Oreochromis niloticus: one gene and its partners. The main gene of each other region encodes a partner of the protein of the gene in region 2 in a complex. Links are inferred from orthologs where the notes say so. Each region holds a gene or a part of one and is shown on either strand. Other genes may lie near its edges. The genes, in order: aifm3, nmt1a and neuronal calcium sensor 1.

Evidence for each region.
Region 1: the proteins of nmt1a (region 2) and aifm3 are in contact, whole or in part, in a crystal structure (PDB 6SJZ), measured with the Homo sapiens proteins. The link is inferred for Oreochromis niloticus from reciprocal best matches to the Homo sapiens genes NMT1 and AIFM3. Residues at the interface, in NP_066565.1 of Homo sapiens: Tyr180, Val181, Glu182, Asp183, Asp184, Asp185, Phe188, Arg189, Phe190, Asn246, Thr282, Ala283, Gly284, Tyr296, His298, Phe311, Tyr401, Ser405, Ile469, Gly470, Asp471, Asn473, Leu474, Leu495, Gln496; in NP_001373743.1 of Homo sapiens: Gly2, Cys4, Phe5, Ser6, Lys7, Pro8.
Region 3: the proteins of nmt1a (region 2) and neuronal calcium sensor 1 are in contact, whole or in part, in a crystal structure (PDB 5O9S), measured with the Homo sapiens proteins. The link is inferred for Oreochromis niloticus from reciprocal best matches to the Homo sapiens genes NMT1 and NCS1. Residues at the interface, in NP_066565.1 of Homo sapiens: Tyr180, Val181, Glu182, Asp183, Asp184, Asp185, Met187, Phe188, Arg189, Phe190, Tyr192, Asn246, Thr282, Ala283, Gly284, Arg295, Tyr296, His298, Ser300, Lys310, Phe311, Ser312, Tyr401, Leu403, Ser405, Tyr420, Gly468, Ile469, Gly470, Asp471; in NP_055101.2 of Homo sapiens: Gly2, Lys3, Ser4, Asn5, Ser6, Lys7, Leu8, Lys9.

Annotation. Positions count from the first base shown.
Region 1 is NC_031977.2:17,815,116-17,822,979, forward strand, and holds the start of aifm3 (apoptosis-inducing factor 3), read right to left. Parts: upstream 3,033-7,864; 5' UTR 2,349-3,032; intron 1-2,348. Other genes in the region: cldn26 (putative claudin-24), read right to left, coding at 5,331-5,987. UniProt on the Homo sapiens protein: Induces apoptosis through a caspase dependent pathway. Reduces mitochondrial membrane potential.
Region 2 is NC_031969.2:27,687,862-27,695,618, reverse strand, and holds the start of nmt1a (glycylpeptide N-tetradecanoyltransferase 1), read right to left. Parts: upstream 3,004-7,757; 5' UTR 2,989-3,003; coding exon 2,789-2,988; intron 1,152-2,788; coding exon 1,046-1,151; intron 837-1,045; coding exon 692-836; intron 1-691. Other genes in the region: plcd3a (1-phosphatidylinositol 4,5-bisphosphate phosphodiesterase delta-3-A), read right to left, coding at 5,496-5,638, 5,730-5,879, 6,183-6,318, 7,330-7,508, 7,671-7,757.
Region 3 is NC_031977.2:11,093,615-11,101,067, reverse strand, and holds the start of neuronal calcium sensor 1, read right to left. Parts: upstream 3,067-7,453; 5' UTR 2,914-3,066; intron 2,826-2,913; exon of another isoform or gene 2,703-2,825; intron 2,253-2,702; 5' UTR 2,132-2,252; exon of another isoform or gene 2,125-2,131; intron 1,104-2,124; 5' UTR 1,025-1,103; coding exon 961-1,024; intron 1-960. UniProt on the Homo sapiens protein: Neuronal calcium sensor, regulator of G protein-coupled receptor phosphorylation in a calcium dependent manner. Directly regulates GRK1 (RHOK), but not GRK2 to GRK5. Can substitute for calmodulin. Stimulates PI4KB kinase activity.

The DNA of each region.
Region 1 (7,864 bases), on a different chromosome or scaffold from region 2:
GATCTCCATTGGCTCTAGCTTCTTTTTAATCTGTATTTTTGCGCTGTTCCTTCAAATATCTATGCCAAGCACATTTCCTTGCATTTAGTTAACATCCTTGCCAGCACTGCCAAGTGCTTTCTGTGTAAGCCACTAACTAGAGAAAGCAAAAAAAAATATCAAGTCCCTTTCTGAAGACTGAAGATATGTAGGAAAACTTGCCCCTTGCATGTTGTCCCTTAAATAATTCGTCACCACTGAAAATTTGATGAACAACAAATTGGATCACAAATAGCTACCATACTGGAGCTCCAGTAAACCCAAGATATTTTGTGCAAAACTAAAGTAGGTTAAGCAGATTTGGTCCTCACAACATATGACGCAGATCCCTCACTCTTTCTCACTGTTGGGCCTGTCCCCAAGCAGTGCTAATAATCCTGCCTGCAAACAAGCTGTCAGTTTCACTCACTTCCCTACAAATGCAAAACCTGTTACTGGAATGTCAGAGGGGAGAATTAGCAAAATGCCAACTCCTGGTTGGTGGAAAAGAGGCTGATCTATAAAGTGAACGTGAGTGAAACAAATGCCAGTCGAAAATGCCAGCCCTTTGATGGACACACCCACTGAAATTACCACGCAAACTGTGATAGCATGTGTAACGTTAGCAGAAGAGGAACATGCTGCGATCTCCATATGTACTAAGAGAAGATCAGCTGTTTATTGGCTCATTCACTTCATAACACCTTGACTATTTTAAAACACCTGCTTGGCAGGTATCCTGACAGGTTAGCCTGTAGTTAGAGTTCTCTGATCCTTGGCTGATAAAAGGCCTCATGCTGCTTAATATTTGACCACGCTTCTTTCTTTCCCTCACAGTCAGCTCTTCAGGTTCGTGAAATGCAAGATAAGCCTGAGGAGTCATCCTGCAATTGCATAAACCTGCTGCTGAGCTGACAGGCTCTTACTGACCATTTATTTTATTTACTAGCAGTTTAATGAAGTCTTCAGTGCCCCTGACAAATGTATAAAAATGAAAGCATTTTAATCCTTGATCTTTTTTTGTTGGTGTCTTTTTGCTGTTCATGTGTTAATTGTTTGCAGTGAAAGGAAACAGGAGGGAAAGGGAAGGGCAGCAAGTGTCCCAAGCCATGTCTGAAGTTAAAGGTGTTCCCTGAAATGCCGCCAAGCTTCTGATTGACTTCTGTTTACTCCAGTGCCTACGTGTCACTGACTATGAAAGAAAAAAGTGTGGATTACAGTTACCACAATCCCCATTAGGAGGCTCCAGTGTGTGTGTTTGTGTGTGTGTTTAATTTCATTCAGATTATTCAGATCAATGTTTGTGTATAGTTTTGCTTTTGTTTCCTTTGTGAGGTGACATCCTTGTTATGGGCAAGATTTGAAGAAATAAATTCAGCTCCATGTGACGCCAACAGAGTGCAGGCTGTGAAAAAGCCTTGACTGAAAATTAAAAAAGAAACGGGACTATAATGTGTGATAAATTAACTATACATTTACCTGATTACAGAGTCAGGTACAGTCCTAATTAAGCTTTTAAGGGGAATTCAAAAAAACATTACTGCTTCACATGATACAGCAGCTGCCACGTGGTTCAAGAAAACAAAGACCAAATCAGCATTCAGCGTTATTTACTGTTCAACAGCACAGAGTTCATGAAGTAGACAAGTTCCTGTGGCTTTATGTTGACTCAGATGCCAATATGTTTTGTATGTATTTATCTGTAAAGCTTAAGTTGGTTAACAATAGCACTACATGGCTCTATCAGGTAATTTTGCTGCTACTTTGAGCGATAACCTCTCCATGATGTCATGGAAAACTGGAACTGAGTTCTTCAGAGGGGTGTACACCCCTACAGGGCAGCTGTACTTCCTTAGAGTAGTTCTGCAAGTGACCAGTTTCTCAGCACACACACGCAGACGCATACAAATTATGATTGGAGATGTGCTGTGATATATTCGACCTGTTTTCATTTTTGTAAAAGTTACTGGTGTATATGGACTGGAAAACATTATCTGATATGCGTGAAGTTTGAGGGATCAGAATTTCTCCAAGATTTTCATGTATTCCACTCATGAGTGTGTTTTCACTAACAAACTGATTTGTAGAGAAACAGTGGATGTTTCTCAACAGAAGAGCCCCCAGAGCAAGTAACTTCCTTATAGAAGTACTCTATGTGACCACAGTGCGCCAATGCAGGCAAAACCCACTTGAAGAAATAAGTGGGATCTCGCTCTCTCTCACGCACACACACACGCGCGCGCGCGCGCATGCAGCATCACATAAACACATATAAAGTAATTACCTCTAACTCTGAGTCCCTGGTGTAAAAAGAATGTGAAGGGTCTTACCCGCGTGCATGGAGCAGGTGCACTGAGATCCTGTCAAACTCCCTGGTGCTCAGCCGTCCCTGCGGAGCACGGCAGCATATTAGCACGGGTCTCCTCGCAGTCTTCTCCCTCTCCGGATTGGCTCTCTCCGCTAGAGTATTCCCAGTCTGCGTGTCCCTCCGTACCCTCCTCCGCACTCCTCTTCTTCCTCTTGATGCAGCAGAGGCTCCAGTGAGTGAGTGAGTGTGTGGGTGAGTGTACGTGTGTGTGCGCTCTGCCCCTCTCAGAGTCCCCCTCAGCAGCAGCAGGAGCAGCAGGAGCAGCACACTGAGCCGACGGGTTGTGGGAGTTGCTCTGTTTCTCTGTCCGAGCCTGAAAACGCAGCACGGAGGACCTTTGCCAGTTTCTCAGCTGTATGCGGTATTGATGGAGTTGCTGAGGGGATGCTAACACAGCATGAATTCTCACCGTTCCCTGCTCTCCTCCACCCAACCTTCCTCTCTCTTTCTTAAAAAACACACACGCGCGCTCTGTGTGTGTGCGTGCGCGCGCCAGGCTTGCTTTTCTGTTCAGACCATTTCAGCCTCGCCTTCAAATGTCAAAGACCTGACTTGCCAGCTAAACCTGATCAAAGACTTAACTACCCTCCGCAAAGCACTGCCCCAATGACTGCCCACCTATTACACTGGCTGCTCCCTGTAAATGCTGCTTCCACGAGCATCATCTGCTGTTAAAACTTACCAGTGTTTGGATTTATTGTAGTTACACTGACCACCAGGGAACATAAAATAAACACCGAAGCCGCACTTACTGTGTGTGTGTGTATGTGTGTGTGTGTGTGTGTGTGTGTGTGTGTGAATGCTGCACTTCTATCAGTGTGTGCAGCAGAGGGAGAAAGCCTCAAAGTGCAGTTGTTGCAGTAAATCCTGGGTTCAGTGAGGGGGTAGGGTGGAGCAGGATTACAAAGGTATAGCCTACTAAGTCTTATAGAAATGAGCTCTCGAGATATTTCCATTCCTTATGCTCCCATTGTGGGAGAGATGGGTCAAGGTCATTCACCTGATAATTGCACATTCATTTCTATGGAAATGATGATGACAACAGTGACACAGGTGATGATCAGCATGCAGCACCAAAACCTTTATGGTGTTTTCAGAATGTCAGTGCTTTCACTTCAAAAAACACAAAACAAAACAAAACATGGTTATAAAAGAATAGAGATCAAATTAGATCATTTCCACTCTCCACATGGACTAATTTGATGTTTGACAGCTGACAGGTGCACACGCACTGCTCTTGTTTGATGGAAAAAGCATATTTGAGTGAAAGCCAGGGTGGGGCGTGTGGATATGCACGACAAGATGACCTATCAGACTCGCCCAGTGTGCAGGGAAGGCCATCTGACATCACTGACACATCACTCAGTTTAATTGAATTCCCAGGGGTCACAGAGAGCTGCAGCATCCAAAAAGCCAGATCAAGAGAGCAGGGAGAAGTGAATGAATCATTAATGGCTTATAAAACAAATGCTCTGCCAAAATATTAATGCCAGCAGTTATTAGGGGTAGATTTACCCTGTTAATTAGCTTTAAATCAATCAGTAAGTAAATGCTAATAACGTACATCGCCCAGCCAAAGAAACATCAGTGTTTGACCCCCTTTTTTGGTGAAATGAAGAAACTGAAAAGAATAAAACAAAACAGTCTACATCAGTTCTGACAATAACGGTGAGCAACAGAGTACATTAAGCTCTAAAAGGAGCTGATGGCACCAAGCCCCCTCCCCACCAAATGAAATTCAACACAGAGCAGCTCAAGAATGCAACCCCTGCTCATTTATTCACTCCTGCACTGCAGTGAGCACTCTGACTCTGCTCACAACTAATGCGGGACATTTTCATTACGGACTCGTTTTCATTACGAACTTAAAGAAACCTTTAAGTTTCTTTAACTTTCTTCATGTTTCAGTTCAGCTGAATATCATTCTTCTAACTAAAATATACAAATAAAATTCATCTGAAAGAAATCACCACAAGTGCAGCTGTAAATTACATGCATATTCACATATGTTCTTCCATGGAGCTTAAATGGATAGATAAATATCCTTATAGGTGCATTACATTTGGACAAGCTGTGCTGTCAGTAAAGGGAACTAAATGTCTGAATAGCCTACCAAAGGCATTAAAGGCGCGGTCCACATACCAGGCACTTAAGGCACATCTTAAACAGTAAGTGATCCCAAACCATCAGTTACTTCTGTCTGATGAATCATTTATTTTTGTTTTTGTTTATTAGAAAGTTTGATGTCACCTGCCCCAGGACTACAGATGTTAATGAACAGTTTTGCTATAATCTGGCATGGCTACACTTTATATTTCTGGTATATTGATGCTGATTAGCAAGAAAGAAAGCTCGTCTTAAAAGCATTACTGACTTTTAAAGACTTTTAAAGCATCAGAAAAAAATACTCACTTTATTGTAGTGATTGCCTGTGGTCAGTGTTCCTAAACAAAACTCTCATAAATCGGTTTTATGGTGATAGTAGGTTCCTTTCTGGTGTTTTGAAACTTTATGACATACTTTTGTGCACTTATTGCACACATCCCTTGACATTAAAACTAATGCATGAGTAATTCAACCAAAAAGTTATTTAGACTAGCTTTTACCGTACCATTAAGTGAGGTTCCAATGGCGTGTATGTTCTGCTAAATAAATTGTCCTCCAATCCTTTAACAAGAATAAAAACTACAGCAGCCATCTATTGTCTCGCATTGTTTTAATAAAATGTGTCCGGTCGCACACAGTTGCTTCAGATTTTTTCTTCTAAACAGAGATCACAGAAAAAAAAGTTTGATTTCCAGTTTGAAATCCAGTAAAAAAAACAAAAGGGCCCCAAAAACACTTCAGTGCTTCTCGGTAGAACTACTGTAACCTTTCACAGGCTGTCATGCTTCCATATAACGTACATGAACTCGCAGATATTACACATATGGGAATGTCCAAGTTATAAAACCTCCGTCTTTAGGTAGTGCTGTGTCTTTTGCTTCACCTGTGGGCTGTTTGGTACACTCGATGTCTGCCGGTCGTAGTCGCCCATGCACACAGCTACAAAGAACAAAGTCCCTCCGATGACCAGTGCCAGGCCTCCAAACCATCCGGAGAACATCGCCTCCCCATACTCCCATCGTGGCATCACATCAGGAAAACCCTCGTCCCAGAAGTCCACCACAGTTGTGTAGGCCACAACAGACACAGGAGCCAGAGTAGTGAGCCCAGACACCCAGGACAGCACCCCACTAAAGATGAGGAGACTTCTCTTCAGACCAGGCGGCTCCATACACATCTCAACCCCCTCTAGACCCGGGAAAGCAGCCAATACAGCTGAAGCACCAGTACCAATAGACACTGACATGAGCACCCTGGAGATCTGCAGGTCCATCGGCAGTCCCATGATGGAATCGTAGGCCTTACACTGAATTCCCACTTCCTCGGTGTAGAGGCAGGTGTGCCACAGCCCAGAGAACCAGTTCTCCACTTCATTGAGATCAGAGTTCATTGTTTTCCAATGTGGAAGGAAGGTGGTGATCAGAGATGTCACCAAGCCTCCAACCGTCACAAAGAGCGCGGTCCTTTGCATCATTTTAGCTGTTAGAAAAACCATCTTCTGCCTTTGTGCGGTGAAGTCTGTGCTGTGATTCTGTGTCCAAATCTAAGTAAAGCTAGGCAAGCCATCCGAGTGGCTCTGTAGCTCGTCCCACCTGTTGGACAGACCTGGACAGCCCACTTCTTACTTCTTTAAGAAAATGCACCTGATAAGTAGGAGATAATCTGGTACCACTGCATAACAACGGCCATACTGTTTGGTTTCAGTGTTCAATGTCATCCCAGCGAACAACGAACTCAGTATTTAAATGAAACCAGATATGAGCAGAGGGATTCTCGGCCGTGTGTGTGCACAAGTCAACTTGAATGAAACATGAGCAACCTGTGCATGAGGGGCGCATAAAAAAGAAAGACATAAAAGTTACTGTTTCACGTGACTGTGAAATTCAGTACAACTTTAAAAGTTTCAGCAAAATTAGGTGAGGTATGGACTTTCGTTTTTGATTATATATTATTTGTTTAAGTTATTTATTTTGATTTGCTAAATTTCTCAAGTATCTCTACTGTGAATAGCACTTTGTGCTCACTGCAGCAGTACAAAAGTCCAAAAGAGTCCAGCACTTTGTGAATTCCTCTGTGGGTTGTTACAGATCCTGCAGTACAACTGCCAGCTTGTAGAAAACCAATATAATGCCTCTGCATTTAGGACAAACGTTTTGTCTTAGCCCCATGAACAAAATTAACTATAAACGTTCATAAAATACTTTTTTTAAATTTTATTGAACTCATACTGGGATTATTAAGGGTGACCGCAGTACATATATAAGAACCTGTAACACATCTCAAATTAATAATTAAAATTAAACTACTGAATTTAATTTAGATCACGTGAGTACACCAAAATCGCTGCATTCCAAAACCTTGCAGATTCAAAAGGAATTCATCCGCTCAAACCAGGGAGCGTTGTCTGAACTTATCATGCATAGATCTGTGGAAACTGAGACCCCTGACGGACATGCTGATTTAATGAAAGGTCAAGGGCTGACCTTCAGCTTTTTCACACTGTGTTTAAGTTGCACTGGCTTTAGTTTGTAACAATAGTCTGAATTTTAGATTAGCACCAGTATTCAAGGCCAACAAAAAGTGTCTTTGAATATTTCACTTTAAACATCAGCTGTTTAAAATTCCTACACCTTTGAGGCATCCACTTCTCATCTAAGCAGCAATGGTGACGTATTTACTGAGTAGGCCATATCCTGCTGGACGGGATGAGGACTGCTGCCTGTTTCAACCCACTTTAACCCCAAACACTAAAAGCAGCAAAACAACCTTCCCGCTGATCCAGTCTAGTATGGTCCCTGCATAAAGACAGTGAGGAAGGCCAATGCTGTAGTTTTAGGCAAAGCTGACATAATGGAGTTATTGGCTCTTTGCACAGATGGCTGTAGGATTTAAAAGCAGGTTAAAAGTTAGGTTTGGGCTCAAGAATAAAGTCGTCTGTTAGAGAGCCCAGAAGATTTGTGATAACACAACCTGACAATAGCTTCTAAAGAGGTCAAATCAATCACTTCTGTGGTTTCACAAAAACTTCAGTTTTTTGACACATTCCTTTGTATTGATTAACTGACAAAATGGTTGCGCAGAAACCTCAATAACGTTGGTATACTGGTGAATCAGAGCACAGACACTCAGAACACATGACTCATTCTGTAGGAGATTTATTAAGGCTTCGAGTGCATGATAACAGAATAATGTCACTAAATACTCAGGTCAGTATTATAGGATACACAGATTTTGTTAATGGTAAGAATTATCACAAAGACATGTGCCAGTAACAGTACTTAACACAGAGATATATTATAAATATTTTCATATGATTTGGATTCTTTACCACAAGACATATGTAAATAATACAAACTTCAATGAATAGAGATT
Region 2 (7,757 bases):
CTGTTGCTGACAATTTAATTCCCTTTATGCCCACAATGTACCAATCTTCTGATGGCTGCTTCCAGTAGGCTACCATGTCATATAATAAAGGTCAAGTAATCGCAAACTGGATACTTGAACATGAAATGAGGTCAGTGTACTCAAATGGCCTCCCAATTCACCAGACTGCAAACAAAAAGAGCACATCTGTGGTGTATTGAAATGGGAGAAATGCATGTGCAGCTGACAGTTCTACAGCAACCGTGTGATGTCATCATGTCAATATGGCCGAAAATTTCTGAGGAATGTTTCCAGCACATTTCAAGTCTACGCCATTAGGAATCATGGCAGTTCTGAAGGTAAAATAGGGTCCAATTCAGTACTACCATGGTGTACCTAACAAAGTGGCTGATGAGTATGTTGCATCCTCTTAACCATGCCCAATTACTGATTCCTTTCACAATTATAGACACATTTCATCAACAGATTGCAAAATAATGCTTTTGTACTGAGCTTTTGCATACTTGAGTCATAAGTACAAGCCTTTTTTCCTTCTGTTCACTCTGTGTTAACTGACCATCTGTGTAAGCCCACTTGCAGAAAAACCCCCAAAACAACAACAACAAAAACATTATTTTATCAATCCCTAAAGATTTGACCTATAAGCTACATATTGGCATGAAAAACAGAACTACGCCATCTGTAACCATACCTAGTTTGGGCACAGGCTGTGTGTCCCAGAACTGGTAACTCCTCCGAGTGGCCTCCTCCATGGTTTTGGCTGGACCTTGGCCAACAGAGAACAGTTCAATGGCCTTTTGGATCTCCTGTAGCTTATCAGCTGGCAACGAATTCACCTGTTTGGGAAGTAAACAGGAATATACATCAAACAAGACCACAGCAAACAGAAGTCAACACTGTTGATCCTATCTAAACAGTCCAAACAGTCTTTACCATTCTGTATCTAAACTGTGATTTTAGTAGATTACACCTTAACTGGACTGTTTTTCCTTTCTTTTTAGGTTAGGTTTATAACCCGTTAAGACAGAAATGCATAAGTTCATGCCTTGGCAAGGGGGTCCTGAGCTGCTTCTGTGGCACCAGATTTCTTCTTCTTTTTCTGCTTCTTTTTCTTCTTCTTGGCGCCAGTGTCGTCCCCAAGACCCCTCTCACTGGAACAGGACAGAAATATATGGCATCCTTTTTAAGACTGATCTCAGAAGAAAAGAAAATCATGTTGGAAATTTATTTTTTGCAATCTGCTTTTAAACAACAGCCAAGATTATTAAACCACCGACAATTCCAACACAATTTACTTTTCATTGCTGATGCAAAGCCTTGTTAGCTGAGGAGTAGCTGTGTGTTTAAACTAACAACAAGAAGTGTAGCTGTAGGGCAGCTAAAGACACAATAAAACCAGTCCTTCAGCTAAAACATACAGAAATTTACAACTCGTTTGCAGCAGTGCAGATTTTCAGAATAACCCTCTTCTGATCTGCTCCAACCAGAAAAGCCACATATCTCCAGCATGCTACTTCATCTTCTGGCAACATACTTACACAAGATAATCTCATTAGTGTCCAAGAGGGGAGAAATGCAGGCCAGTACGTGGCCTGTATTTGTAACACCAGCACAGATGGTGAATCAGATGACATCTAGAAGAAGAGTATCTGTGCGTGTGTGTTTATGTACTGTATGTACAAGAGCCCAGCAAGTGACTGGAACAATGGACAACAAAACATTCAATGGTTTGTTCTCCCACTTTCCATTTCAACAGGGTAGAGCAGTTAAGGGGCCAAACAATTGTTTCTGAGTGCAGGAAGGTTCAAAGACCTGCAGGGGGAATATGTTTAGCCATACAGCAAAGTGGGTTTGAGGTAGAATTCTGCAACATTAGGTTTATTCTTTTCTCAGACTTTATCATTATTCCCTTCTTTGTGTCTTTAAAAACGTAAACGTGTGGCTGTCGGGTCAGATTTCCTCCAGTTAGTGATCAGATTTTGCGAAAACCACCTTACAGAGGCGCATTCTTGTTCTGCTAAAAACAAAGCTCGGCTGCTTTGCCCTTTCATATATGACACAACTTTTTTTTTAAAGATACATTAAGAGAAAAACAGGGTTTTTATCAAAGCTTGTATTCAATAAGAGCAACCGAGCTGGGCTGCTTTAAGATCGCGAACATTTATGTGATTAAAAAGGAAATTCAAAGCCCTCACTTCACAACGCCGAGACCCAAGTATATTATTTTTAAGCTGCGTGCTTTTTGCATGCACGTTTGTGCTTGTTTCACTTTTGATCTTGCGCCGAATCCACACACACACACACACACACACACAGACAATGCCAGGTACGCTAGCATGCAAGCTAACACGCTACATGTCAGCTGGCGTAAACGTGATTTGCATCATTTACCCTTAACATAGCAACGGCATGCGAAGAACACCATAAAAAAATCAACTTAATTAAAAGTTTATTTTTTCTGAAAGGTTTGTGAGTAACGAAAACACAAGTCTTGGTGTAAAATTGGCTTCTAAACGCACTTTACCTTCTCCTTTCTAACCATATACTTAGGAAAACGCTAAGTCCAGCCTATATTTGGAAAAGACATCCTTCTCAGCCAATCGGATGAAAGAACAAGCAAGCGAACGTTGCTACTAACCAATAGGATGAAAGAAAATGGGCTGGACGACGTCTAAGGATGGCCGTCTATCCCGACTGCTCGCCGAGGTTCAGTTTAAGTTAATTTTGTTAAAATCTACAGAGCCGCGACGTATTTTACGCCACCGACCGAGTAAGCCTGCCTCCTTACCCATCGTCAAAGTGGTGCTCTTCATTTTCACAGTCGCTGCAGTGTCCGTGATCCTCTACATCTTCTTTCTCCGGCATCGGTGCTGTCTCATTCTCATCCGCCATCTTCAACCAGGAAGTGAGACGCCACCGCGTGCCCCTTGACACCTTTAAAACAGCCTCGACGCTATTGGCTGAGACACGCAGTGGAGGCGTAGCCATGGTCGTCCTGTTTTTTACCCGACCATTTCCAAATATTTACGATAAACAAATGGCTCGTAATGGAGCGGGCACGGCTTATCGTTTTAAAGCGTCCATTTTTAAGTTTTCACAGCCACAGTAAAAATATATTTTTTGTGTATTTAATATATTTTTCCCTCTAAAGACAAACAGCCATGTGACGTGCATACAACCCAAAGGCAAATGAAAGCGCTTAAGTGGAAACACGTGTGTGATAGTGCAGCTTGAAAGAAAATCTGAGGCCTAATAAATTAATATTACAACAGGGTGAGTAAGAAGGTAAAGTCATGCTCAGACTTAGGAATTGAATGAGACCAACTGAGCAGATTAAGCATTGTGGCGTTGATATTTCTTATTTGAAAGCCAGTTAAAAGGCACTAACAGGTAAAAAATGTACATTAGCTGTTCATTTACGTAGTCTGCGTAATGATTAGCGCCTCCAAAGCAGCCAAAACCTTTTAGGTCCACATCTTATTTATTTTCATAATAATGGGGGCATTAAAGAACCCAGTTTTTGCATGAAGTAAGCTAACGGGACATTCTTCCATTCACGTTTTGCATGAATATATTACAAGTAGTGACACGGTGTTTAATAATGATTACTACAGAAATGGAGCTACAGCTACAGCACCAACACTTGGACAAAATACCCATAGAGCTGCAACATGCACAGTATAAGAAATCATGGCAGTCACATGAGACGATAACATGTGACTGCCAAATAATTTGCTAATAATTATTTCAGAGAGCCGTGTGTGATTACTTTTTATTAGCAAGTCAACATTTTGACCTAGATATCAACAGGGACTATATTACTATATTTGAGGTGTATTTTTGAACCATTTTTGCTGATGTTAAAAACATGTCTGTCATGATTTTAGCGTCAACTTAAGACTTTTTACCAACGTTTTTCTTGAGGGAAAAAACTAATACTGACTTCCTCCCTTTTCTGTTGTTGTGGTGTTGCTGAGTGTCATTCACAACACACTGTGTGTGTTTTTGTATTTAATTAAGTTTACCACAAAATATTCAGTGGGTGGATTAGCTCATAATTCATAGAGATGCTTGGAGACAAAAAGAAGTCCAGTTGTTGGAGAAATTGCTGCCATGCTGTATAATGTGAAATGTCATAAATATTGCTAAGAGTTTCCCTTTTTTGTCTTTACTTTTGGCCTAATCAGGCAGGGACATATCTATTGATAGTTCTAATGTTGGAATGTAAAGATTTATTATGTTTTAGGCTGACAGTTTTAGATTATCACAGAAAAGTCAGACAAAAATTCACAGTACAACCTTCTGGTTATGCATTTATTAAAGTGTCAGGTATCCACAGACAACACTGTGGACTTTTGAAACTAAAAAAGACACTTGTATCTTTTGACAGCATGTGAAAAAAAAATGTTAGAAGTGCTTTATAAAAACATTTTTCTTGCAAACATAACCACTCAAACGCATCCCACAGCTTCTATATTAAACATTAAGAGAGCAAAGTTTTACTTCACTCACTATTAAACACATATTACATTCTCCTCAAAACCAGCGTGACCATTAAAAATGTAATTACAGTAATTACTTTTCATCGCTGGACCATTTTATTATCAGTGAACCTCCTTATAAGAGTATTAAAAGATTCACTGTAGCCTGGAGTAATTAGTGGTTGTATTAGATTGATGCAATTAGTTTTTAACCAGCATTTTTTCTAGATCTGAATACAAGGACAAAAATTGACAAAATGAAAGAAGCTTATATGGAAATACTGTATCGTTAAAATTCAAATATGATTTTAAAAAAGCACATTTGAACGTATCTGAAATGATGCTAAGATAAAATACAAGACATTTAAGAAAAAAGCTTATCTTTGCAAGTTAAGCTTGTCATGTTCTACTGGAAGATGTGAGAACATGTTAACATTTGTCTTCCAGAGAGAATTTAAAAGTGCCCAGATATCTGGAGTATCGAGTACTTGTACATAGCCAACATGGGCCACGGGGCCCTGGCGCACTCACTAACACAAAATTAAATCTGTATTACATCACAGTTAATGCTGCCAATAATAACATCTAAAACACTGACATTTATGGATATTGTCAAACACAGTTACTTACGCTTGGTTTCCATCTCATTGCAATTCTTTTATAGCATCAGTTTAAGAAGTGCTATTTTACTTCAGCGATCATTATTCTTCAAGTTTAAAAAAAAACACGTTAAAAAATAAAATGGTGACATAAAATAAATGATTTTCATTCTCTCTAACAGTCCCTTTTCTGTGTTTTTTAATGAATTACAGTCACCAGAGGGCATGTCTCCATTTCTGACAGACACCTTTCTTTAAGCACTGGGAAGTGGTTTTGTGTAAATTGGACCACTTGGGGTCTGAACTGTAAGACAACAGCAACAGCAGCATTCTGTCTCTGTCTGTTTACACTCGGAGCTCCTCCTTCCAAGGTCCTTCATTGTCCAGATGTCTGATTGTCTTGTTCAGATGTGTGTCACGCTTTGCCTTTGGCAGCGGCAATACGCTCAGCCATAGTTTTGACAGGAACACCTCTGCGAGTCACTTTGACATGGATAAAGAGTGTAGCAGGAGAAAGGCTGGAACCATCTGCCTTCAGTAAGTGAATATGTCGATAACCTGGGTGGGGAGTATGACACATATTAAAAAGAACAGCCGAGAGTGAAGAACTGATACATGACTGACTTGTAGACTAAATCTTAATAAGCACCTATGCGAAAGCTTGTAAAAGGTAAAGTGAACTGCCCCACGAAGTCATTTTTGGTAGCATGATCGTGGTCCTCCACTACAAACCGCACCAGGGCCAGCTCAGGGACCTGCAGCTGGAAGCTCAGAGTACAGTCCCAGCGAGGGTTGAAACCTGCAGAGGGCGCACAAGAGCTGTAAATACACCATCTGGTGCATTAAACCTTTCAAACAAACTAATCATGGCATTGGATTGAAAAGACTCCTACACAAATATATATTCCAAGATTTGAATAAGGTACAAAGAAGCTTTCGGACATCATCTCTTGTCTCCTGTCGCTGCATTATAAAAGTAACACTAATTTACAGAAATTTAAATATTCATAGATAACGAAGATATTATCAATCTGCAAAGAAAAAAAATCAAATAAATTTCTTAAAAAATTTTTGTTGTTGTGGATAAAAAAATAAAACTTACCATTGTTGTCAATGCGGTGGGTTTTTTGTTTTGCTTTATCAATAGCCACCCCATGAATTTCCACCCACACTAGTGGATCCACAATGGAGCTCGCCTTCTCTGTGTTGATTTTTGGCAGCTGTTGTGCAGATATTATCTGAAAAAGCAAAACATAATTCATCATTGTGTGCATGAAATTATCATTAGAAATGTATAAAAAAAAGTCTATTGGAGGCAACTTTTTTGCAAAATCCGAAATTGCAAATTGCGCTAACAGGGCTCGACTGGATAGCACACAATAGCTCTATGTTTAGACTCTAGTTTAGACATAAGGGAACTCTTCCAGAGGAACAACAGAGGATGGCCTCTCTATGATAAAAATGTAAGTATGGACAGTAATAACAAGAACTAAATGACACTACGAAAAATAAACTTGCCACAAAAAGGAAGGAAACTTCCTTTTTCTTCTAACAATGCTTCTTAGCAATAAATTGTATACCGTTGGAAAGCTTCTTTATTTGTCTATAAAAAAAACAACACATACCAGGGGCCTCACAACAGCCTAGTACCTCCTCCTCATGTTGGTGACCAGCTTGGTCGCACACTGCTGTGGGATGGGATGACATTTTTCAACCAGCATTTACTGCTGTTAAACTACCAGTATGTCTTGTTTCTTCAGAATTCAATTATCCAATCCAATAAATGACACCAAACAAGAGTTAATAGCAGAATAAGCTGTTTGGCATTGGCAGAGAAGATTTGGCAGGTTTTTCATGAGTGCAACCCACATTCTCAACACTACTGCTCAACCCACAAATGCATTTTCCTTACAAATTGGTATTCTTCCAGTGGTATATACGATTTATTACAAAGAAGAATTGTTACCACAAAGAAATAATTAACCAAACACTAACTTCCTTACTTTTTATGTTAAGCTTAGAACAGCGGTAGAGAAATTGTACTATAACGTCTATGTCCTCCTTAACAGGTAGTCACATCTGAACGAAACTTTGGAAAAACTTCATCACATATATAGCGGTTATTAAAATCTATATGCTTTAAAAAACGATGGTGAATTCACATTCTTTGGATTTTTGTGTATCTAGATAAATATAATGTTAATTTCATCATCCCCCTGTAAATGTGATCCTTAGTAACAGTTACTCACTCGTATAGTCAGCTGAGTGGGGGTATGACCGGGGCCTCCTCCCGTGTTTTCTGGGTTAAAGTTGGATGTGGGACTGCACAGGAAGCTGGGTTTGAGGACGTATCCACAGCGACCATTTACAAGGAAGCGACCCTGGTTCAGGTCCATTTGCTCCCCGGCCGTCTGGAAGTTTAGAGCCACTTAATGGCACAAAGAGGAAAGTGGAGGGACACGGAATCAGAGATGTCAGTGGGATACATGACATTAAATTTACAGAAATAAAACACGTCTCTGGGTTTTTAAAAAACATTTTTTTTGCTTCCATCTGAACAGCAGCGTAGCTTTCAGTGTGGAGTACCAACCCAGCTGGCATCCACAGTTCCACATTTCCTGAGGATCATAGTTGGATGATTGAAGGCGCTGGCCACAAGGGTAGATCCGGCTCAGCT
Region 3 (7,453 bases), on a different chromosome or scaffold from region 2:
CCACCACACAAATAACACTGTCATTAAGCAGCCAGGGGATGTCAACTCCCACCCACACCTGCACACCACGGTGCTCAAATAATAATAATAATAATAATAATAATAGCAATGCTGTGCTCCAAAAATAACACACAAGTGGTTAATATAGTGGATACCAAGCAGACATTGCTGGTGGTAATTAGAAATGTGATCCAAAGTGATAGCTGAGCAGACATTGGTAAGCAACGGCTGGTAAGATGGTAGAAATACAGTCAATTTGCACCCTAATGCATCAACGGGAACAACGATAGAAGATATAATTACAAAGTCACACCTTCGCTACAGTTTTTGATTGGAGGGTCAGTCCCCTTTCTGTGAGCCCACCCCATCCATCGATCTTGATGCAGGAATGCAATTTATAAGTGTAGCAGCACAAGCACGGCGTGAATTGATTTACCCTTTGTATGTTTAAATTTATCAATGTCTGTCACATTAGAAGTAGAAAATACAGCATGTTTACAAGCGCAACACATAAAACCACACGCTCATCTGTAAAGAAAAGCTATCATTACAGCTGCCGCAAACTCTACTATGTCCTCAGCGTAACTTAAAGACGCCGGTTGCAACTTTTTACTCAGCCTTAGCTTAGTAATGTCTGCGATACATTCAAAAATCTGAAATTTGAAACAAATGAGGAGATCGTTCGCAACTGACATCTGCTCTGTCAGTGGTGAAAAATGTATAGCATCCCAAAGCATCCCAGCAGGCAGCGTTATTTACTGTTAAGCCTGTGTGGTGCACAGTGGGTGGAAAATGAGATTAGCAAACCGCAGCAATAAACTCTGTATTATGTATTCCTATTGCAAGCTGTATGTTCTTTAACCTCAGGCCAACAGGCTATGACAAGCTCACAGAAAAAGTTTCTGCAAAGTTTTTCTTTGTAAGAACAAGCAAAAAACAAACACACTTTCAGTTACTCACAGTAGGTTTTCCTTGTCAACTCCTCTACCACCTCTGGCTTGAGCTTGCTGTTGGATTTACCCATGATCTTCAGCTCTCTTCGACGCCTCCAAATCCACGCTGGCACGTATCACCTGTTACTACGTCCTCGCCAGTCTGCTCCTCTGCCAAAACACGCAAGAGAAGTGGGGCCAGTTTAGGTGCGAAGACACGGGTGAGATAGGAGAAAGACACTTTTATTTGAGTTTGCTTTGACAGAAAAAGAAATAAAACACTCCCATTCACGCTAATCGTTCTGTGTATATCACTCTAGCTGTGGTCATGATCTGCTCAGCCATCAGCACTCCACACAGACGAGTCAAACCCCAGGGGACCACGTGAAGAGGACCCAGCAGGTTGTTGAGTCTATACGAGCGCTGCGGAGCGCCTATGTGTCCGCCTCATTTCTTCACAGCAGCCCGTGGGCGAAGAGTGGCGTTTGGACACGTTGCTACCTTCGTCCTTGGATACAAGAGTCACTCAGTGGCTGGGTTAAGCACGCTCGCTCCCTCACAGTCATTCTCTGTTCTTCTCACTCCTCCCACCCCTCCTTTCCCACCACTATCTCTATTGCTCAGGGTAAGTTACTGTAGAAAAAGAGTCCTCCCTCTTGACAGCTGAGATAAGGAGGTGTGTAAACTAAAATACAATGAACAGAGCTCGACTTGGATGCCCCCCGCTGCACTTTGCGCTCGCTCTAAAACGTTAGCTCTAATCCTTGGAATTTACACAGACACCACAGTGTAAAGAAACAGTTTTAAAAGGCTTCAGTAATAATTTCTAGGGAAAAAAAAAAAGAAGATACCAGAAAGACGCCAAGTCTGTTCACGGTTCTACAGCTCTGATGCCAACTGAACAGCACAAAAGAGATCCGGTGCTGCTCTTAAAATAAGCATGTGAGCTGTCTACCAAGTTTAGATGTGTATTTGAAGAGTGACAGTTTTCTTTTTTTTTCTCCTCCATTCTGACTCATAATTCTCCCTCCTTTTCTGGCCTCATGACAACACGGCATGGTGATTTCTTCCTCTCTGTCACAGAGATGGGGATAATGGAATTTCTTTGTACCGTGGGCCGGGCGTTGGCATGCACTGACGGTTAACCACAGCAGCTGTCTGAGCCACAGAATTAGAAGACTACTGTACGCACTATGCACCTTCACTGCAAACATCTGTACTCTGCGTCCACGGCCAGCGATGTCTTTGCGAGGGATGCCACGCTGGTAATCACCATTTTGCGTTTGCTCAAGCCTTCTGGTCCTGGATATTACACAGACACTATGAAAATAAACAAACAGACAGCAGTTACAAAGGGAATGACAGGCATGTGCTGTGTTTCATGAGAAATGGACTGGACTGTCACCTAGAGCCACAGACACATGGGCACTTGACTGGAAAAACACTCAAAACAAGACGACCTTTCTAGTGTCTGCCTAAGCTGCTGAGTGTAGCCAGCAGGCATCAGACAATATGCAGCTAGAAGAGTGCTGTCAATTTAACTGTAGAGGCTGCTATTAAAGTATTCTGCGTTAAATCAGCACAGCCTAAACGAGCAGAAAATGAAGTCACGTTGTTAAATGACTGATTCAAACAGCTGGCTAAGACAAAACAGCACAACTAAAATACATACAATCTCAACAAACGTATAGCCTGGTTAAAACCCTCGAAAAGCGCTTTGTTTTTATTAATTTCAACGTGTTTTGATTGACAGCAGCGAGAAATACATACAGTCGCGGCAGCAGCAGGTGGGATGTTGCCTGGCAGTACCATAGCAACCCTCAGTTTATGGCTACAGTGCGGGAAGCTAGTCATTGTACTCGAAACGTTTGGTACCCATGCTGTTCCGTGTAGCTAGTTGACAAGGAAAAAAAAAAACAGAAAACACACCTTTAAATGAATAAAGAAAAAAACGTTCCCATATAAAGCGGCTTCTGGTTACCTTAGCCACAAAAGCGGAAAGTCGCGGTGAAAAGAAATAATTTGCCCCACAGCAGAAAGCCGCTGTCCGACGCCGTCTTCCTTCGCCGAGTTCCGGAGCGAGCGACTCGCTGCTGCGCGGATGGCCGTCCGTGCTGCTCTGATGCCGCCGTCAGGGAGTGACGTTGCTGCCTCTGCTGCATGGCCCCGACCAACTCAGCTCAGTGCCAGAGACACTGACGTCGCGGTACCACTGGACACACACTGACTCTTTGTGTGCTTTGAGAGCCTTTACACGTGTCACCGGGCACATAGCGAGAGGTTAACTTTTCGACTCATATTCACATTATATGTAACGTTGTTTACAGGTCAGTCTGCCTGCCCAGTTTTACACACAAAAAAAGAAAGAAAGAAAAGGTCGAAAGTGGTGGCGGGGTGTCTTGTTTTTCTTTATAACACTCAAATTAGCCACTTACCCTTTTTTAATGCCTAATCACTGCACTGGATTCAAAGTTAGTGTTTGTAACTTGTGAAATCTGAGTTTGTTGTTCAAACGGACAAAAATTAATTGTGGCAAAGGGTTGTATTAAAAAGGAATAAGTTACATTTTTAACATAAATATCAAAGTTCCTTAAGTAAAGGGGCTAAAACGATTCGGAATAATCTAACTTTTAGTCCTTCGTCGGGGTCAGTCAAGGTTGAGCAACACTACAATTCCCACAATGCCATTGGCAGTCCTGCGTTTGAGGTAAAATTCCAAATTTACATGATATCTGATTTACAGCGTTTGGCCCAAGTAACTACCGTTAATAATACCGGTTTGTATAAAGATCACTTTTTTAGTGTGAAGTAAAGAAAAGTTTATTTATTCATTCATTTATTTATTTATTTATTTATTGCTATGTTTAAAAATAGCTACAAAGTAATCCACTTCCATATCTGCACTTGTTTAAACTTTTCAGTATTCTCACACCAAACTAAATAACACAGAAATGATTAGCATTTGTTAATGGCGTTTCTCATGATCACATCATACATATTCAATGACTCATTTAAAAAAAAAAAACACCTAAAATCAATGGCATTTTAAATGCAAGCTATTTTCAATCATTTCAAATGTCAGCAGCAGAGCAGCCCATACTCAAAAAAAGATCACCTGCCTCTTTTGCTCTCTCTGTTCTCTCTCTTTCCTCCATTAACAGTGAATTGTCAAACTTAATGTTAATGGTTGATAACACGGCAGGTAGCCAAGTTACACACTGAAATAGTTTTTGTGTTTCGTGATATGTTTGGTTTAGTTTTTTTAAAGCTTGGTTACAAAACGAAAACATCAAGTCATGTTTGGAGAGACTGATCTGCTAGCTTGTTAAAAAGCCCATCTACAGTCTCAAAGCCTCCCTAGGGCAGCAAGCCGTTCAAACAATGGGGTGTGAATAAATGATGTGTGTAAGTGGGTCGTTACATTTTCAGCAAAAGGCTGCTGAATCACTGCTGAGTATGAACTTTAACACTCACAGGCCTTTGGTCAAAATTAAAATAACTTCACCAGAGGGCTTCAGCATAATGACAACACGAGTTAAAGCGTGACCACCATGGAAACGTGAGAGGGATTATTCTGAGGTCCCCCTGTTGGTGAAGCGGCTACTGATGCCATAGTCTGCTGCTTGATAGGTATGCAGGTGCACACATTCTCTAAACATAACACCATACATGCTATTACATATATGGTTTTAAGTTATGTTCTTGAGAAGACAAATGTGTGTGCTCACTGCTTTTCACTTGCTTTCTCATCAGGACCCAGACTATCCAATAAATGTTCAGTGAATCCAAGTATTCTTATATTTATCCATCCATGCATCTTCTCTCGCTTACCCAATTCAAGGTTGCAGTGGAGCCTTTCCCAGTGAGAAGTGGAGTACACACTGTACTGATGCAGACCGGTATTGTTATTTATTCCTTTCATATCTTAACTGTGAAATGTGTTAAGGGCCACTTGCAGAACATTATTTAACCTTTGCCAGGTTCTACAGGGCTTTGTAATGAGTTTCACATAAGCAGACACACACATACACACACTCGGCCGTGGAGCTGGAATGCAAGGAGCTTGTCTGACATCGGGAGCAAGTTAGTTCAGTGTCCTCCCCAAAAACACTACTAGTGTGGAGGGCTCAGGCATCAGAAGTTTATCAAAGCTTATACATAGCTGAATACATGTATATCACTTATGAGTGAGTTATTTTTAGTAACATAAAATGTTGACAGTCTGAGTCAACCATGGTTAAAAAAAATATTGTGGTCACTGCGAAGAAAAATACTGTTACTACTGAAAATAGGGTTCGTAAGGTACTATATTAACTTCGTAAGGTAGGGTCAAGTTTTTGACCTTCACAGAGAAAGTCTGGGTTCAAATTACAGTGAATTATGCTTAATAAGGCTTGCTAAAAATACAAATTTCAGGTAAAAAAGGAAAACGTGACTGCAGACAACTTTCTCCAACACATGTATCTCCCACAGAGAGGCTCGCCCGACTTGTCTGCTTTTCTCCGCAGCACAGTTTTGAAGCTGAATACAGACTGGGATGTTTTTTATTGCACATCTTCATATCTGACTGTGCACACACAAGCTCTAATGACAGATTTGCAGGTCTTGTACACGTCCACAAAAATTAAGAGACATTTACAAATTTGACTAGAGAGAGATTGGGAGACATCTGTGCACAGGTTTCCAAATAAAGGTGGTAGAGTAAAAGCCTCATTATTCATCAGTTATTTAGGGAGTAAAGTTTGTTAGCCTTGAGGGTAGGGATGTGCATGATTTTCTAATATTAGTCACTGAGCTACAAAAAAAGAAAAGGTTATCTTTTTTGGGGGGGGGTTATAATATGATGGATGGTCTTGGAAGAATGCCCATCCCTTCTCTGCAACCACGCTTATATGGTGGTGCAGTTGCTGCTGGTGTCAACATAGACTGTATTTAAAAAGTGGGCTTGGTTTCCGGGTCTGAAAAATGACACGTAAAAAGTGAAAGGGGGGTGGGGGGGTCGTTTTGTTACCAAAACAAGAAAGATTTCAGTAATCTCTGTGGGAAATACAAACCTTCAGTTGCTTGATCTATGAGCCCAGCGAATACTTTCCTAATGAGTTTTATGGTCTCAGTGGCTAGTTTATTAAACACAGCATGATGTTCATTCTAGAAATGATGCTCCCTGTTAAAACACAGCAATAAAGCAGCATTTGCCTTGGGGCAGGTCTACCTTGTGATTGGTAATTTCTTATCCCACGAGTGGGCCTGTTTTTGGCCACACCCAACTACGACTGGTTTCAAAATGCTAAGATGTTATCTATCACCTCAGCCCTTGGGATGAAACTTTACTAACCAATGGGTGAATTCTCAGTGGTTGCATACATCTCTTATGTACAGTCTGTGTGTGCAACTCATTTATGTTATTAAAACAAACTGCACAATCCACCCCATTTTTTAAAGATTGTTCCTTCTTTTCCCAAAATTCATGAAACTATCTTCTGTTGAATTACATGCATAATCTAACCAAAAGACAAACAAGCCACAGTAGAAGGTCTGTGGCAGAAGTAAATAAAACTGAAAGCTTGAGAGTGGGATTGTAAATTGAGACACCATACCAGCAAACTTCAGGTAAGGTGTATCCAAACATAGGCTACTATAATTACTGATCTGGAGATTGCAGGGCCCTGCTGGGAAAGAGAACAAGATGGGAATAAGGGAAAATGATTTCAGATACATTACTTGCTAAAAGATGGGGAAAGGAATTTTAATTGGTCTGAAGAAAAAAGATTAATGCGCTGCAGTTTTCATTTATTGATTTTTATACTGAAGGACGCGAGGACGAGTCATGTAACCAGAAGGCTCATTTGTATTTTTGCTCCCGATTCCTCTTACTCATGCTCGAGTCCAAACTTTGCAGTCAGACATCTCCATGCGTAGCTTATTAAAATTCAACTCCCCCGAGCGTCGTGTAAACAGATGTTCAGCTATTGGATTTGTTCATTAACAACTGCCACGCCATCATTCTATAGCCCGATAGGAGCTTTCTGTTAATTCATGGGAGGGTTGGATCAAAATGTAGGCTGTCTGACTTGGCCATCTTAGTATTCAGTATCCTTCCCTGCAGTTCCTTATTGCAGTCAACTGCAGTTACAGTAGCCCCGTAGGAATAGAGAGAACAAGGCTGAGAAATAGAGAAAGAGGCCATGGCAAAAATGGGGCAAATTGCTCTAAGATTTTTTTGATCTTTCTGGATCATTTAGAACTTTAGAAGCCTTGTTGAGTTTACTAAACTAAAGTCTGCATCTTGTATCAAGTTCAGTCTAAATGCTGTCTTATGTTTGTCTAATTTTAGATCACTATGTTGAAGTTAACTTCAGTAGGTATTGCAGCAGGTAATAAGGTAAGGTTTGCATTGTCTGGATCTGTTTGGAAGGCAATTGCATTACCATTGCACCACCCAGCTGTATGCTTATACATACAGTATCTGCTTTGTGATATCACAGACTTTTAAACTAGTGTTTTTGCTGCTGCTGTCAGTT